Caenorhabditis elegans: one gene and its partner. The protein of the gene in region 2 purifies or fractionates together with the protein of the main gene of each other region. This does not show direct contact. Each region holds a gene or a part of one and is shown on either strand. Other genes may lie near its edges.

Region 1 (6,812 bases), on a different chromosome or scaffold from region 2:
TGGTGGGTAGCAGAGATGTCACTTTTCCCTGAAATTATTTATAGGTGATTGTTACACAGATATATTAGATGAAACGAACCGTAGAAGATCCTATCCAAAATAAATCTTCATGTGGGTCAAATTTTACACATGATACAGTATTTTCAGTGGTCGTGTTGATATTGATCGGCGCCACAAATCGCCACTGAAAAAACGTTTAAAGAAATCAAAATGAATAAAAGTAAATCTGAATACCTCATTTCCTTGGTTAGTAGTTGCCGACGCCATGTTTATTAAAACAGATGTAGGAATGGCACAGATTATGAATGATTAGTATTATTCTGAAAAAAATATTGTTTTCGTGAAGTGAAAAGGTTTTAAAAGCGAAGAGAGAGAGAGAGAGAGAGAGAGAGAGAGAGAGAGAGAGAGAGAGAGAGAGAGAGAGAGAGAGAGAGAGAGAGAGAGAGAGAGAGAGAGAGAGAGGAGAGAGAGAGAGAGAGAGAGAGAGAGAGAGAGAGAGAGAGAGAGAGAGTTTCAGCGTAGTTGGCGTGAAAAATAGGTAACGAAGAGATTTACAAAACTCAACTCAATTTTAACATTTGGTGATTTAAATTCAAGAGAAAAGTTAAATTTGTGCATGTGATGATAAGTGTATATTTACGGTAAACATGAGGCGCTAGCGAAAGAACGGAGTGTCGTAAAAGAAAACACGCGGGAGACTCGATTATTAAAACAAGCAAACGAACCATGCTTCTTGAAAAACTATATTTTTGAATACATTGAATAAAAAGCAAATTGAATTAGATAAAGTGCAAGTAAATGTAAAATGGCGTTCTCAAATTTTTCGAAATAAAAAATTCACGTAGAGCAACCAGAAAAATCCAAAGTATTTGGAAATGATAAATTTGGCAAAAATATTTGGTAATTTGAAAAACGTTTGATGGTAAAAGATAAAATTTAGAGACATTTTGTTATGGTCTCTTTGAGATCTTCACACCGTTTGATTTGAGTTGATATTGAAATTTCTTGTTTGTTTCTTTCTCTCTCTGAATACGAGCCACAGAGATCAAACACGTTAATTGGCGGACTCTTCACAGTTTGACCTCGGAGATCAAGCTGTAAGAGGACTGCCTAAATATACGTGGTCAATTCCTATTCCTGAGAGGTAATCCCAAAAATCGGGAGCTAAGGAATGGTTTTTCGAAAATCTACAATAAATTGCAAGACTACGAACATAAAATATGTATTGTTTGTGCAACACCAAGGGAGAGTGAGAGTAAACATTTATATTCAGGAAAAAATGATTGAAAACTCAGTGAATGGAAGTTGTATACTGCACACTGGGAAGAAAGTCAGTGAAACTTATTTCTTCAAATTTGGTATCGATTAAAAAAAAATTTCATTTTCTTCCAAACTAATAAAGTGTTATTGTTGAACCTAACAAGATTTCGTTGTTTGTTGATAATTTGATATCTGTACAGACTGTACTGATTGATAGCTGAAACTTTATTTCCTGTGCTTTGTAATTTATGAACTTGTCAATACCCAGTCACTGAACGGATACAAAAGAAGTGCTCATCTCTCCGATCGTTCGGGTGGGTGCTCTTTGTTTCCTCCGCCTCGTCGTTCATTCATTTATATTATTATGCAAATAAGCTTCTCCTAATTCTGCACTCACTTCACCTTTCCTCGGTCGTTTCACTATATTCTATACTATCCATTTATCATTTCTACAACTACTTTTTAACTTAAGATGACGCAGAAACTATCAGAAAATGAAGAGAAGGATGACACTGGTTACTATACACCGAAGAATATATTGAATCCTGCTATGTTCCGGTTCGTTTTCCCAATTTTGTAAATCAATGTACTAAATTGATCTAATCAGGCTGGCGGAGATAACTCGTGCCTTAAGCGAAGTTAATATGGAAGTTGAAAAGGAAAAGCTGTTTGATGATAGAAGACATACTATAAATGTGGACCAGTTCACCCGAGAAGAAATTGATATCAACGAAAGAAACAATGAATCTCCAGATGCTATCGAAATTTTAGATCGAAGGTGAGGAGCAAGCTCAATCGAATACCAAATATTACTTCCAGATCTGAGAAGCAACACTGCAAATGGACCACGAAGCTGAAGAACAACGAGGACACAATAGCCAAAGTCTTGATTATTTGCCTCATTATATCTATCACTTTATTAATGTTAATGCTGATTTTCTGGAGTTGAGTTAACAGAGATGAACGTTGTTTATCAGTTTTCAATGTTTATTTATTTCATAACCCATTAAAAAGTAAAGAGTTGATAATTTATTCAAAAATCAACAAGATAAACTCAACAATGAAGATTTACTTCTTCTTTGGTGCAGCCTTTTGGGCGGACTTGGTGACCTTTCCAGAGGATCCATCAGACTTCTCAACGGACTTGATAACTCCGACAGCGACGGTTTGTCTCATGTCACGAACGGCGAAACGTCCGAGTGGAGCGTAGTCGGTGAAGGATTCAACACAAAGTGGCTTGGTTGGGATGAGCTCGACGATTCCAGCATCTCCAGACTTGAGGAACTTTGGGAAGTCCTCAACCTTCTTACCGGTACGACGGTCAACCTGAAAAACAAATTGGTACATAAACGAAACAATAAGACAAATAAGTTACCTTCTCCTTAAGCTCGTTGAACTTGCAGGCGATGTGAGCGGTGTGGCAATCGAGAACTGGAGTGTATCCGTTGGAGATCTGTCCTGGATGGTTCATGATGATGACCTGGGCGTGGAAGGTGCGAGCCTCCTTGGCTGGGTCTTGCTTGGAGTCGGAGCAGACGGATCCACGACGAATATCCTTGACGGAGACGTTCTTGACGTTGAATCCAACGTTGTCTCCTGGGACGGCCTCTGGAAGAGATTCGTGATGCATCTCAACGGACTTGACTTCAGTGGTGACGTTTTGTGGAGCGAAGGTAACGACCATTCCTGGCTTGATGATTCCGGTCTCAACACGTCCGACTGGAACAGTTCCGATTCCTCCGATCTTGTACACATCCTGGAGTGGGAGACGGAGTGGTCGGTCAGTTGGGCGTTGTGGTGGAATGATGGAGTCGAGAGCCTCGAGGAGGGTCTTTCCGGAAGCGTTTCCTTCCTTGCGCTCAACGGCCCATCCCTTGAACCATGGCATGTTGGAGGAGACCTCAAGCATGTTGTCTCCGTTGAATCCAGAGATTGGGACGAATGGAACAGCCTTTGGATTGTATCCGATCTTCTTGATGAATCCAGAAACCTCGTTGGTGATCTCGGTGAAACGGGCCTCAGAGAATGGTGGCTCGGTGGAGTCCATCTTGTTGCAGGCAACGATGAGTTGCTTGACTCCAAGGGTCTGGGCAAGAAGAGCGTGCTCGCGAGTTTGTCCGTTCTTGGAGATTCCGGCCTCGAATTCTCCAGTTCCGCAAGCGACGACCAAGACGGCGCAATCGGCCTGGGATGTTCCTGCAATTAAAGTTTTATAAACGAGCTAAAAATTTAACAAAGTCGTACCAGTGATCATGTTCTTGATGAAATCACGATGTCCTGGGGCATCGATGATGGTGATGTAGTACTTGGCAGTCTCGAACTTCCAGAGAGCGATATCGATGGTGATACCACGTTCACGCTCGGCCTTCAGCTTGTCGAGGACCCAAGCGTACTTGAAAGATCCCTTACCCATCTGAAAAAAATCGGGTGAGAAAATCTTTCAAACTAGTTGTTTGTACTATTTACCTCCTGAGCCTCCTTCTCGAACTTCTCGATGGTTCTCTTGTCAATTCCTCCGCACTTGTAGATCAAGTGTCCAGTTGTGGTGGACTTTCCGGAGTCGACGTGTCCGATGACGACGATGTTGATATGAACCTTTTCTTTTCCCATGGCTGCTACGGAGTGAGCAAAGTGTTTCCCAACTGAAAAAAAAACAATTTAATTTAAAAGTAAGAAGAGTGCGGACGGTAGAGAGAATAAAAGTCGAAAAAATTATCCTAGAAACTTCTAATATTTTTAAAAATTAAAAAAATATAAAAAGTGAGGTCACAAATAAGACAGTTAGAACATTTGTTGAAAGCCTAAAATAAAAATTCGACTAAACAGTGAGAACAGGAAAAACGCTGGGACTGAATGTTTGACCTCATTATAAATTCATAAAATTTAAATTTCCTAATCTGGATAAAAACAAAGATAAAAACAAAATAAACCAACAAAAAACCAACATGATTAGTCAGATGACCAGAAAACTCACGTTAATTTCACAAGGCCCAAAAAAATCTCTCCCCCTCTCGTTGCTGCCTGCACATCTAACTCCTAGCACGAAAATGTACCGTACACCATTTCAAACACTCTCGGCGGGAGTGTTGCATACTTTTTCTCTCTGGCAGTTTATTTTCAATAAATTCTTCATTTTTATATTGTATAATGTCTTTATTTTATGAAAAATTCATTAATTTAACAGAAACAATGGAAGAACCAATGGAAGTTGACAATAAAAGACCAAAGGTGCTCACCTGGACAGAAAAATAGTTAGTTTTTTGTTTTTCGATTTGCAAAGTAAATTCAAATTTTCAGTCGTCCAAAAACGCTAGACGATATTGCATACCAGGATGAAGTCGTCACAATGCTGAAAGGAGCGCTTCAAGGAAGAGACGTATTGCTTAAAAAATTATTCAAACTAATCGTTTTAATTTTTCAGTTACCACATCTTTTGTTCTATGGACCACCAGGTACTGGTAAGACGTCAGCAGCTCTTGCATTTTGCCGCCAACTCTTCCCAAAAAATATTTTCCAGTAAGTGAAATACTGGGTGATAATTTTTTCCAATAATTATATTTTCAGCGATAGGGTTCTTGATTTGAATGCATCGGACGAGCGTGGTATTGCAGTTGTTCGTCAAAAAGTAAGATTGCCACTGATTTTTAATTAATTAAGAATTCCATAATTATAAAAACGTTTCCTGTTTAGATTCAATCCTTCTCCAAGTCATCTTTGGGCCACAGCCATAGGGAAGATGTTCTCAAATTGAAAATTATCATACTTGATGAAGTTGATGCGATGACCCGAGAAGCACAAGCAGCAATGCGCAGAGTTATTGAAGATTTTTCCAAAACTACTCGCTTCATTCTCATCTGCAACTATGTTTCCCGATTGATTCCTCCAGTTGTGAGCCGTTGTGCCAAGTTCCGATTCAAATCACTTCCAGCCGAGATTCAAGTTCAAAGGTGAAATTTCAAAATTAAGTGTTTTTTATAACTTTCGGTGTTTTTAGATTGAGAACAATTTGTGATGCAGAAGGAACTCCCATGAGTGATGATGAACTGAAACAAGTTATGGAATATTCAGAAGGTGATTTGAGACGAGCTGTATGTACACTTCAGTCATTGGCTCCAATTTTGAAAAGTGTTAGTTGTTTTTTCTATAAATATTGTGTAAAAATAGTACTTTATATTTCCAGGGCGATGACAATGCTCGAAATTGCTATCTCCGTGGTTCTTCGGACAGTTTACTCATTTCAAACGTTTGCAAATCAATCCTGACTGCTGATGTTCCCCAAATAATTGCATTGACAAAGGATATCACAAAATCGTGCACTGGTGTTGCTTTCATTCGTCGTTGTTTCCAACAGTTGATGGATGAAGATGTTATCAATGACGAGAATATTGGAGTAATGGGGAAACTGGTTGCGGTTGGTGGAAGATGAATACATAAATAGAAATGAAAGTTCAATTTCAGACTTGCGAAAAGCGAATTTTGGATGGATGTGATTTGGAAAACAATCTCCTCGACTTTCTGCTCACTCTTCGTGAAACTATCCAATGATAAATTAACACAATACGGTTTCAATTTGCCCATTGATTTCTCAACTTCAAAATTCACGTGTACTATATATAAATTTTAACATTCTATAAACAATAGTTTTGTGCTCAAATTTCGACAAAACATTGAGATTATTATATTTTTTTGAAGGTACAATTCGGCTTAGGTTTTTTTTCAGTTGAATACAAAATATCGAATAGGATAGTTTGGAATAAATAACTACTAGTTCCCTCCCAACTATTTTGCTCTCCGCTCAGTTTTTCACCCTCTGTCGCCCATCGATTTTCGCTCCTTGAAGACTCGGCTCCCCTTCCATTTTCTAAGTAATCTCGCCCCATTGAGCAGTTTTCATTTTTGGTATGAAGCTGAAGAAGTGGAAGTATCCAATTTCAAGAGCTTTTTTGTCTCAAGCAATTTGTGTGAGAATTTGAATTGAGGCAATTTTGAATCCCATTTCATTGTGAATTTCTTTTCTACTATAGCTCTGCTTCATTTTCCATATGATTTCAATTGAAGCTTCCTGACTCTGTACTAATATTAGAGAAAGTGGGGTCAATTCGAAAGTCCACCGTCTGATCAGTACTCAAATTTGATCGAGTCAATGTGTCTCAGTGCTTATAATCCGTGTACCTGCTCCTGATCACACTTGCTCACTGTCTCTGTTTGCTCTTTTCCTGTATGTTTGTGTCCTTCTTCTTCTCCTCCTCCTGCTCCCAAAAATTCTTTCATCATTCCGCCACAACCACGGGACATTCCGTTTTCTTGTTAATCACTCCTACTGTCTGTTTTTCCAAAAAACTTTCCTCGCCATCACCGTCTGGCCGGCTTACAGCTGCTACAGCAGCAATAATGGGTAACGTGGCGACTAGAAAACGGCCCGGATGTCATCATCACATTGGAAGAAATGAGGAAAATCTAGACGACGATGAAGATGGACCAGCGAAGAAAAGATTAAGAATTGGAGAACCGCAGGCTGAAAATGAATATCAAAAGGTGACTGAGAACTGAAA
Region 2 (7,369 bases):
AATGAATAAAACCCTCTCTCCAGCCTCCCCCATCTAAATCAAAAAATCCAAAATTCCACGAAAACCTTTGAAATTTGAAGCGACTTCCTTCCTTTGCCAGCTTTTTCCGTTCGGTTTTTGGTCGCCACCAGATTTTTTCCACGAAAAAAATGTGCCTTATTTTGTGTGTCTGCTGTGTTCTAAAATTGCACACATAATTGCGGTAGACAATTTTTTTTCGAAAAAAAAGTTGTATTTTCGGAAATGGCCTTTATTTCCGCGCACATTTACCCGGAAACGAAAACAATAAAAGTTGTAATTTTTGGTTTTTTTTTGGGATTTTTTGGGGCTTTTTGGAGTAAAAGGAAGTGATCGAAAATCAGTTTTGAATTGTAAAGACACAAAAAATTAGAAAAGCTCGGCCACCAATTTTGTTTTCGCGGCCACGATTCTAGAACGTTCCTGACTTTAATGGCAGTTGTAGCAAAAATGCATACCCGCCTGCCTATAGAGTTTGCCTTGAAGGCGACCTATGCCTACCTACTTAGGCGTGAAAACGTCGATCACCTTCTTGGCAAGTAACACCTGACTTGTAGGCATCTAGGTAGGCATTTTGTGCCTAGATTGTAAACTTAAAGTGTGGCATCATTGTGACCCATATTTTGAATACTCATTTAACGACTTGTATACATTTTCTCATAAAAATCTGTGTTATCAAATATTAAAAATTCGAGATTCTCTTATCAAATTACTTGTATTTTTCAGAGTTCTCAAAATTGTTGTAGTCTGGAAATTCGTCAGAAAAATTAAAAAATCTGGCTCCAATTGAAGACAGAATGAGTCAGTTTTGTTTTCACTTCTCCTTCTTCTTCTCCTCCTTCTTTTTCTTTTTTTCTTCTTCTTATCAGTAAAATTTCAGAATTCTCAGCAAAAGTTAATTTCCTTTTCAAATGTTGTTTCACCACACCGAGACACCAACAATTATGACATCCTAATTCCAATTGCTCATAGTACTGAAATTAGTGGCTTCTTCTCCCTGTTAATTCGCAGGTGCCACGTAATCTAAGGTCATCGACCATAACACGATGGTCTCGAATTTCATTCAGAGGCTTCCTTCTTCCAGTCTTTTTTCGGGAATCCCTATGTTTTTTTGACGACTAATCTCAAAAGCTCTAACTGACTCTCTGGCGCCGTCGGTAAACACCCCTCCCCCCCGTCATTGCGGATTTTTCAAGTATTCTTCAACACAATATCTTCTTTAGAACCAATTTTGGATTTCTTGTGAAAATTGGCTCCGTGTTTTTTTTCTCGCTCAATTGTTAGAAAAACTTGTCTGGAAGCTTTGATGTTTTGAACAAAGTCCTGTTTGAATAGACACGCGCTTGAACTTTTCTCAGCAAAATTGGATTAAACGTGGTGGATTATCTTATGTAACTCGTAATTTGAAAAAAAAAACTCCTTTTCACTTTTTTGCTCCAATGACTTTCAGTCCCACAGATGAGGATTAAGTTGGAGATTATGACAACCAAAAACTAATTTTAGGTCATTTTTTGAGCCGCCATAACTTTTTTTTGAGAAGTTTTCAAGAAGATTCATTTTGAAATTCGGTGTTTTCAGACGATTTCGAGTCTAATAAATCAATTAAAAAGATTGGACTACACCACCTTTACAATTTGAATCCATTTTAATTTTGTTCACATCTACCCAATCAAGCTATTTTCTATTCTACATATAACCAAAATATAAATGAGGAAGCTAAGATAGAAGTGTGTGCCGAAAATTGAGGAGCTTAAAATATTCGCTTAGAATATTTTAGCCAGGTAAGTTCACTGATATCATGCAAGTCAAAAACATGAACGAATCGGGATTAGAGAAAATGAATATGTTCTGTCCATTGGCCCAAGTACCGGCAAATTTGAATTTTCATAGACATCTTTAGGATAATGAGCCAGACTTTAATGTATGTGCAAAAATACCTGACGAGGCAAGCTGTGCCTATCTGCCTTGTAGGCGCATAGGCAGGCTTGAGGGCATGTGCTTTTTTTTTATTGAAATCTGTCCTTTCTAGGCTTTGGCTTTTCTTAAAATCTCTATAACTGAAAACCCCACGTCAGAGTATGCGTGGGCTGCTCCAAATCGCCGTGACTGCCACTGGCTGGAAAAGCAGACAATACAAAACCAAATATTTTGAAGTCTTTCTTATACCACGACAACTCGTTATTTGCCTCTTATTTTTCCGGGATTTTCTCTGACTTTTTCAGCTTTCAATTTAACGATGAATTGTTAAAAACATTTATAGAATTTCTCAGAATTTTTAAAAGTTATATGACTAGATATATTCTAAGGTTTTATTGTTTTTTATCATTCATACATGTACATACATGTATGTACATGTACATACATGTATGTACATGTATGATTAACATCCTTTGTCTTACATTTCCGTTCTTTTCTTTTTTTTATTACTTTTCACTATCAGTCACGTGAAATCCACGGGAATTTCTTTAAAACTTCAAGCCTTCCAGATCGAAAGTGGATTTCTTCAGGAGAATGCGACGGAACTCGCCGCGAGCAACCATCTTGTTCGCGGTGAATCCGGATAAAGGAGCATTTCCATTGCTCATGACACTTCCTTATGAGAACTACAATAATCAGGCAACCACATCATCCGCTGACACTTCGGGCACAACGACCACTGATTTGACATCGAGGAGGTTGGAGAGTATTGCAGAGGATGGGAGCATTTTGAAGTGAGTTTCACTGGAGCACTGGGAAAATTTAAAATTGTCAACTTTAATAAATCTGGCAATTATAAGTCTTAAAAACAGATGAGCACCAAATTCTAGCTCTGTTAAGAGTTCAAAACCGGATTTCAAAAAGGTTCACAGTTTGGAAAAGTTTCAAAAAATAATTGAACTTGTTTATTTGGGTATCAAACATGAGTCATCAATATTTAATGCATACATAGGTATATTCAAATCAGGGGTGGGCGGCAATTTTTTTGTCGACAAACTCGGCAAATCGACAAATTGCCGGTTTGTAAATTTGCCGGAAATTTTTATTTTCTGCAAATTGGCGATTTGTCAATTTGCCGGAAATGTTTAAAGGGATTTTTTATAAGACGGAAAAAACTGTGCCCTTTTGAAATTTCGTTCCCGTTTTCTCTAGAATAGAATTTTCTTACTTTTCAAAATAGATGTAGGAGCATTCATAGGATGCGTACAATTTTGCCGATTGACATTTGTATTCTGAAATTTCCAAAAAAACGTGCAAGACCAAACTTGCCGCTTTCCCGAAAAGTTCAATTCCAGCAATTTGCCGATTTGCCGGAAAGTTTAATTTCGAAAGTTTGCCAACTTGCCAGAAAATTTCGAAATTTCGGCAATTTTCCGGCAAATCCGGAAAATCGTAAATTTGCCGGTATATCAATTTGCCGAAAATTTTTCAATTCCGGCAATTTGCCGATTTCCCGGAAACTTTAAATTCCGGCAATTTGCCGATTTGCCGGAAATTTTCAATTCCGACAAGTTTCCGATTTGCCGGAAAGTTCAAATCCGACAATTTGCCGATTTGCCAAAAATTTTAAATTCCGCCAACTTGCCGGAAAAATTCGGTAATTGCCATTTTTCCGGCAAATCCGGGGAATCGTCAATTTGCCGGTTTACCGATTTGCCGAAAATGTTCAATTCCGGCAATGTGCCAACTTGCCGGAAAATTGCCCCTCAGAATTAAAACACATATAAACAACAATTTGATGTCAAAATGTAAATTTAAAAAAGAGCATGTTTTTTTTTAATTCTGAAAACTCAAAAAAAATTAACCAGCCATACAGTCTGAAGCAGAAGTGAAAACCCAAAAATTATCACAGCTAAAAATAGTCGAAAAGTAAACAAGTAGTCAATTGATAAGCTTTGTGTGGAGTATATTGCAGCTTCTCTATACCCCCTTTTGTATCATTCACCTTCCCCTTGATCATCCATTGCGCATGCGCATGTCTGTGAAAAATGTCTGTGAAGGAGGCTCCACCCACTCTTAACTTCTTGTCACCATCGATCAAGACACCTGTGTGATTGGAGAGGAATAGAGATAGAAGGGGAGAAAGGAAACGGAGAAAAGAAGAAAAACGAAGAATATTTTGAATTATTGATATTGTATCGTCTTTCTCATCTCGATTGTGTTTCTGCCCCCAGTGTCATCACCTAACAGTTCGCCTCCTTTTTCTTACTTTTTACGTGTAGTTTTCATTGTTAATTGATTCTGCACATCAGGATGGAAGACGCCGTCGTCGTCGACGAGGAGCACCGACGACGTGGCGAAGACACTCAATCGTCGGGCCAGTCGAGCCTTCCATCGGACATTGTGCAGTTCACTGCGAGACCCCACATGTTAATGGAAGAGTGAGCAACTTAGTGTGTGATTGTTAGTGTGTTTTTTCTTGCAGTGTTGAATGCAGCCCGATTGAGCCGACGGAAAAGGAATGGAATGAATATCGTGATAGGTTTGTGTGGTGTTGTGTGGATTTTATGAAACGGACTCGCTAGGTGTCGGCTGCGTTTGAAGTTGATCCTAGAATACAAATCCGGCCGACCTGCAAAGTGTCGGCTGCTTTAAAGGTTGAGCTTTCCCAATGGTCCCGCAAGATGCCCGCTGCTTAAAAAACCTTATCCTATGTGGCCTCGCAAGGGGTCGGCTGCTTTTAATAGCTGAGCCAAGCTTTGAAACTCTGGTCCAGCTAGGCGTCGGCTGCTTTGAAAAAAAAAACTAGTCAAAACTTTACCAAGACAGCCCGTGAAGTGTCGGCTGCTTTCAATAAGTTACCCCAAACCGATGCAGTTTGGTCCAGCGAGCTGTCGGCTGCTATAACTTTTTGACAAAATTTATCCAGACATAGTAACAGGGAATTTAATAAATTAAATTGAAATAAAAAAAACAAAAAAATTTTGTTACCCGTCAGATGTCGGTGGCTTTTTTTTAAAAGTTTTTCTATGTTTTTACTCACAAATTATCCCTAGTAAACATATTTTGTAGTCATCCCCTGTGACCTGAAGCCTTTTTTGTCCAAAAGTACCAAAAATAGAAGTCCAAAGTGTCAGAAAAAGAAAAACTATCAATTTGTTCAATTTCTAATTCGATTCATCATCTCGTGAGTCTCGATCATCATCATCATTATCGTTCATATATGGGCGAAAACTGATCATACCACAGTTCTTGCAGGCGAATACGAATACCATTCTTATCATGAAAAGAAACGGAAATAGAAACATGACCAAGGGGTCTGGCAGGCTTTTCATGTGAATACCCCATTTAGCATTTCCCCAAATAACCATCCAAATCTGAAAGCTTTTGTTGAATCAGTTCAAAGATACACAACCCTATGAGTAAATGGTGTTTCTTTATCACTTATGGGGGAAGAAAGAATTGGGGGACGCCACCGAAAATAGACTTGTTTCCTTAGTGGACACGCTTCCGGCCATCACACGAATCAAATAAGACAATTAATTGAGGAAGAGAAAAGGACATTGGAAGTTATTGATTTGAGAAATGTAGACCAGGTGATTAGAGGGGTTATGGGGATTTTGGGTAATGGAGAATTAATATTAACAAAAATTTTGAGTCCTCGGTATAAATCAGGGGTGAGCGGCAAATGCCGTTCGGCAAATTGATTTGTCGACAAATTCAGCAAATCGGCAAATTGCCGGTTTGCCAATTTGCCGGAAATTTTCAATTCCGGAAATTTGCCGGTTTGCCGATTTGTCGTTTGCCGGAAACGTTTTGAGGGATTTTTTTACAAGACGGAAACACTTAACTGTGTCATTTTAATTATTTCCGTTTTTTCTAGATATTCTCATAGAATTTTTTTATTTTTCAAAATAGATGTAGGAACATTTATAGGATTTGTTTAATTTTTCCATTTGAAATTGAAATCCTTAAATTTCAAAAAAAAAAAGTGCAAAACTACAATTTGACAGAAATTTTCAATTCCGGCAAATTGCCGATTTCCCGGAAATTTAAATTCCGGCAATTTGACGATTTGCCGATCTGCCGGAAAACATCGTTTGCCTACGTAATTTGTTAGTTGGCATTTTTTCTGCAAAGCTAAAACTAGCCGAGATATGAGCTGTGAAAATGCATCGGCAAATTCGGCAAATTTGCCGCACACCTCTGGTAAATACGTTTTGTTTCCATCTAAAGCTGGATAATGAATTCCACTTACATACTTATTTTTAAGGTCTCACGTTTACCAAATAGGCAACTTTTTGTTTGCTCGCACAATTTTACAATAGGGAGTTTTTTGTTGATTTTAGCCACTTGCGATAGGTATTCAAAATTGTGAAAAGTATTAAACTCCATTTAAGTTAGTGAGAACATTGATTTTCCAATTTCTTTTTCCAATGTTTTGATGTCCTCCAACTGCTCCTAATTTGCAAAAACTAGCTGGAATTTTATCAAACATGAAAAATAAATTGAAAAATCGCAGTTAATTTCCACGACAAAAAGCCAAAGACTATCTCGAGAGAGATAAATTGAAATTCCAAACAGTTTCCGCTTTGCGGTGTCATCTCTCTGATCGGTCTTTCAACTTCCATAGAACATACATTGTCTTTTCATCTTCTTCTTCACCGAGACACCGTCCAAATCGATTCCGTCTCCTATCCGCAATACACTATTTCACCTGGGGTGAACTGGTTGTTGGACTATGAACTTTTTCTCTGATTCTCACTTTTTTCTTCCCTTTTTTGTGACTTGATAAGTTTTTTTTCGTAGAAATTGGAAAATAAAAAATTAGATGCCGCTAGGGCTGAAAAGAAAGGAACTTACTTGAGCTCACGCCAGAATATGCAATTGGAAGATGGAATGCTTCTACGGCTTATAGCTCGGCTGTCTTAATTGTTATCAAAAATTTTTCATTTATCAAAATATAGAGACACATTTTGCACGTATTTTTTCAGTTGACAATATTTTGATAAATCCAAAGGCAAGTGAGTTTTGAGCTGTCAAAGTAGAGGGGAAATAGTAAAGTATTTTTATATAATACCGGATTGCCCTTGTACTGAAAAATAGAAAATAGGAATTTACTAGACTTCCAGTCGTGTTTAAATCAAATTACTGTAAATTTTCCCTCAGCACCTCCCAAATTACGCCAACAATTTCCTCCGCCACTTCCTCTACCACACTATTTCATCATCACGGTTCTCAGTGATCAGATGACGTCATTCTAGTCTTTGAAAGATCGATTCTCTCCCTTTCATACTGTTGTGTTGTGTATTCAAGAAGAAGCTGCGTTGGTTGTTTCGCAGGTCGTTAGACCTATATCCTCCCGTCAGATTTCGTCTTGATATGACACAGTTTATCGGACAATTTCGATGGTTCGTTTTTAGACTTTTTTGTT

Evidence for each region. The genes of interacting proteins can lie anywhere in the genome.
Region 1: the proteins of clh-1 (region 2) and eef-1A.1 purify together in Caenorhabditis elegans (affinity purification with western blotting; one study listed by BioGRID). This does not show direct contact.

What each region holds. Positions count from the first base shown.
Region 1 is NC_003281.10:6,967,811-6,974,622, forward strand, and holds eef-1A.1 (Elongation factor 1-alpha), read right to left. Parts: upstream 3,903-6,812; 5' UTR 3,871-3,902; coding exon 3,727-3,870; intron 3,674-3,726; coding exon 3,505-3,673; intron 3,457-3,504; coding exon 2,636-3,456; intron 2,587-2,635; coding exon 2,329-2,586; 3' UTR 2,216-2,328; downstream 1-2,215. Other genes in the region: PolyA-specific ribonuclease subunit panl-2, read right to left, coding at 1-28, 80-184, 235-267; F31E3.12 (uncharacterized protein), read left to right, coding at 1,733-1,818, 1,868-2,038, 2,080-2,209; rfc-4 (Replication factor C subunit 4), read left to right, coding at 4,450-4,511, 4,558-4,636, 4,682-4,776, 4,825-4,885, 4,951-5,207, 5,255-5,387, 5,441-5,671, 5,719-5,805; Putative serine/threonine-protein kinase F31E3.2, read left to right, coding at 6,652-6,795.
Region 2 is NC_003280.10:11,851,622-11,858,990, reverse strand, and holds the start of clh-1 (CBS domain-containing protein), read left to right. Parts: upstream 1-2,529; coding exon 2,530-2,729; intron 2,730-4,245; exon of another isoform or gene 4,246-4,247; coding exon 4,248-4,376; intron 4,377-4,420; coding exon 4,421-4,477; intron 4,478-7,317; coding exon of another isoform or gene 7,318-7,346; intron 7,347-7,369.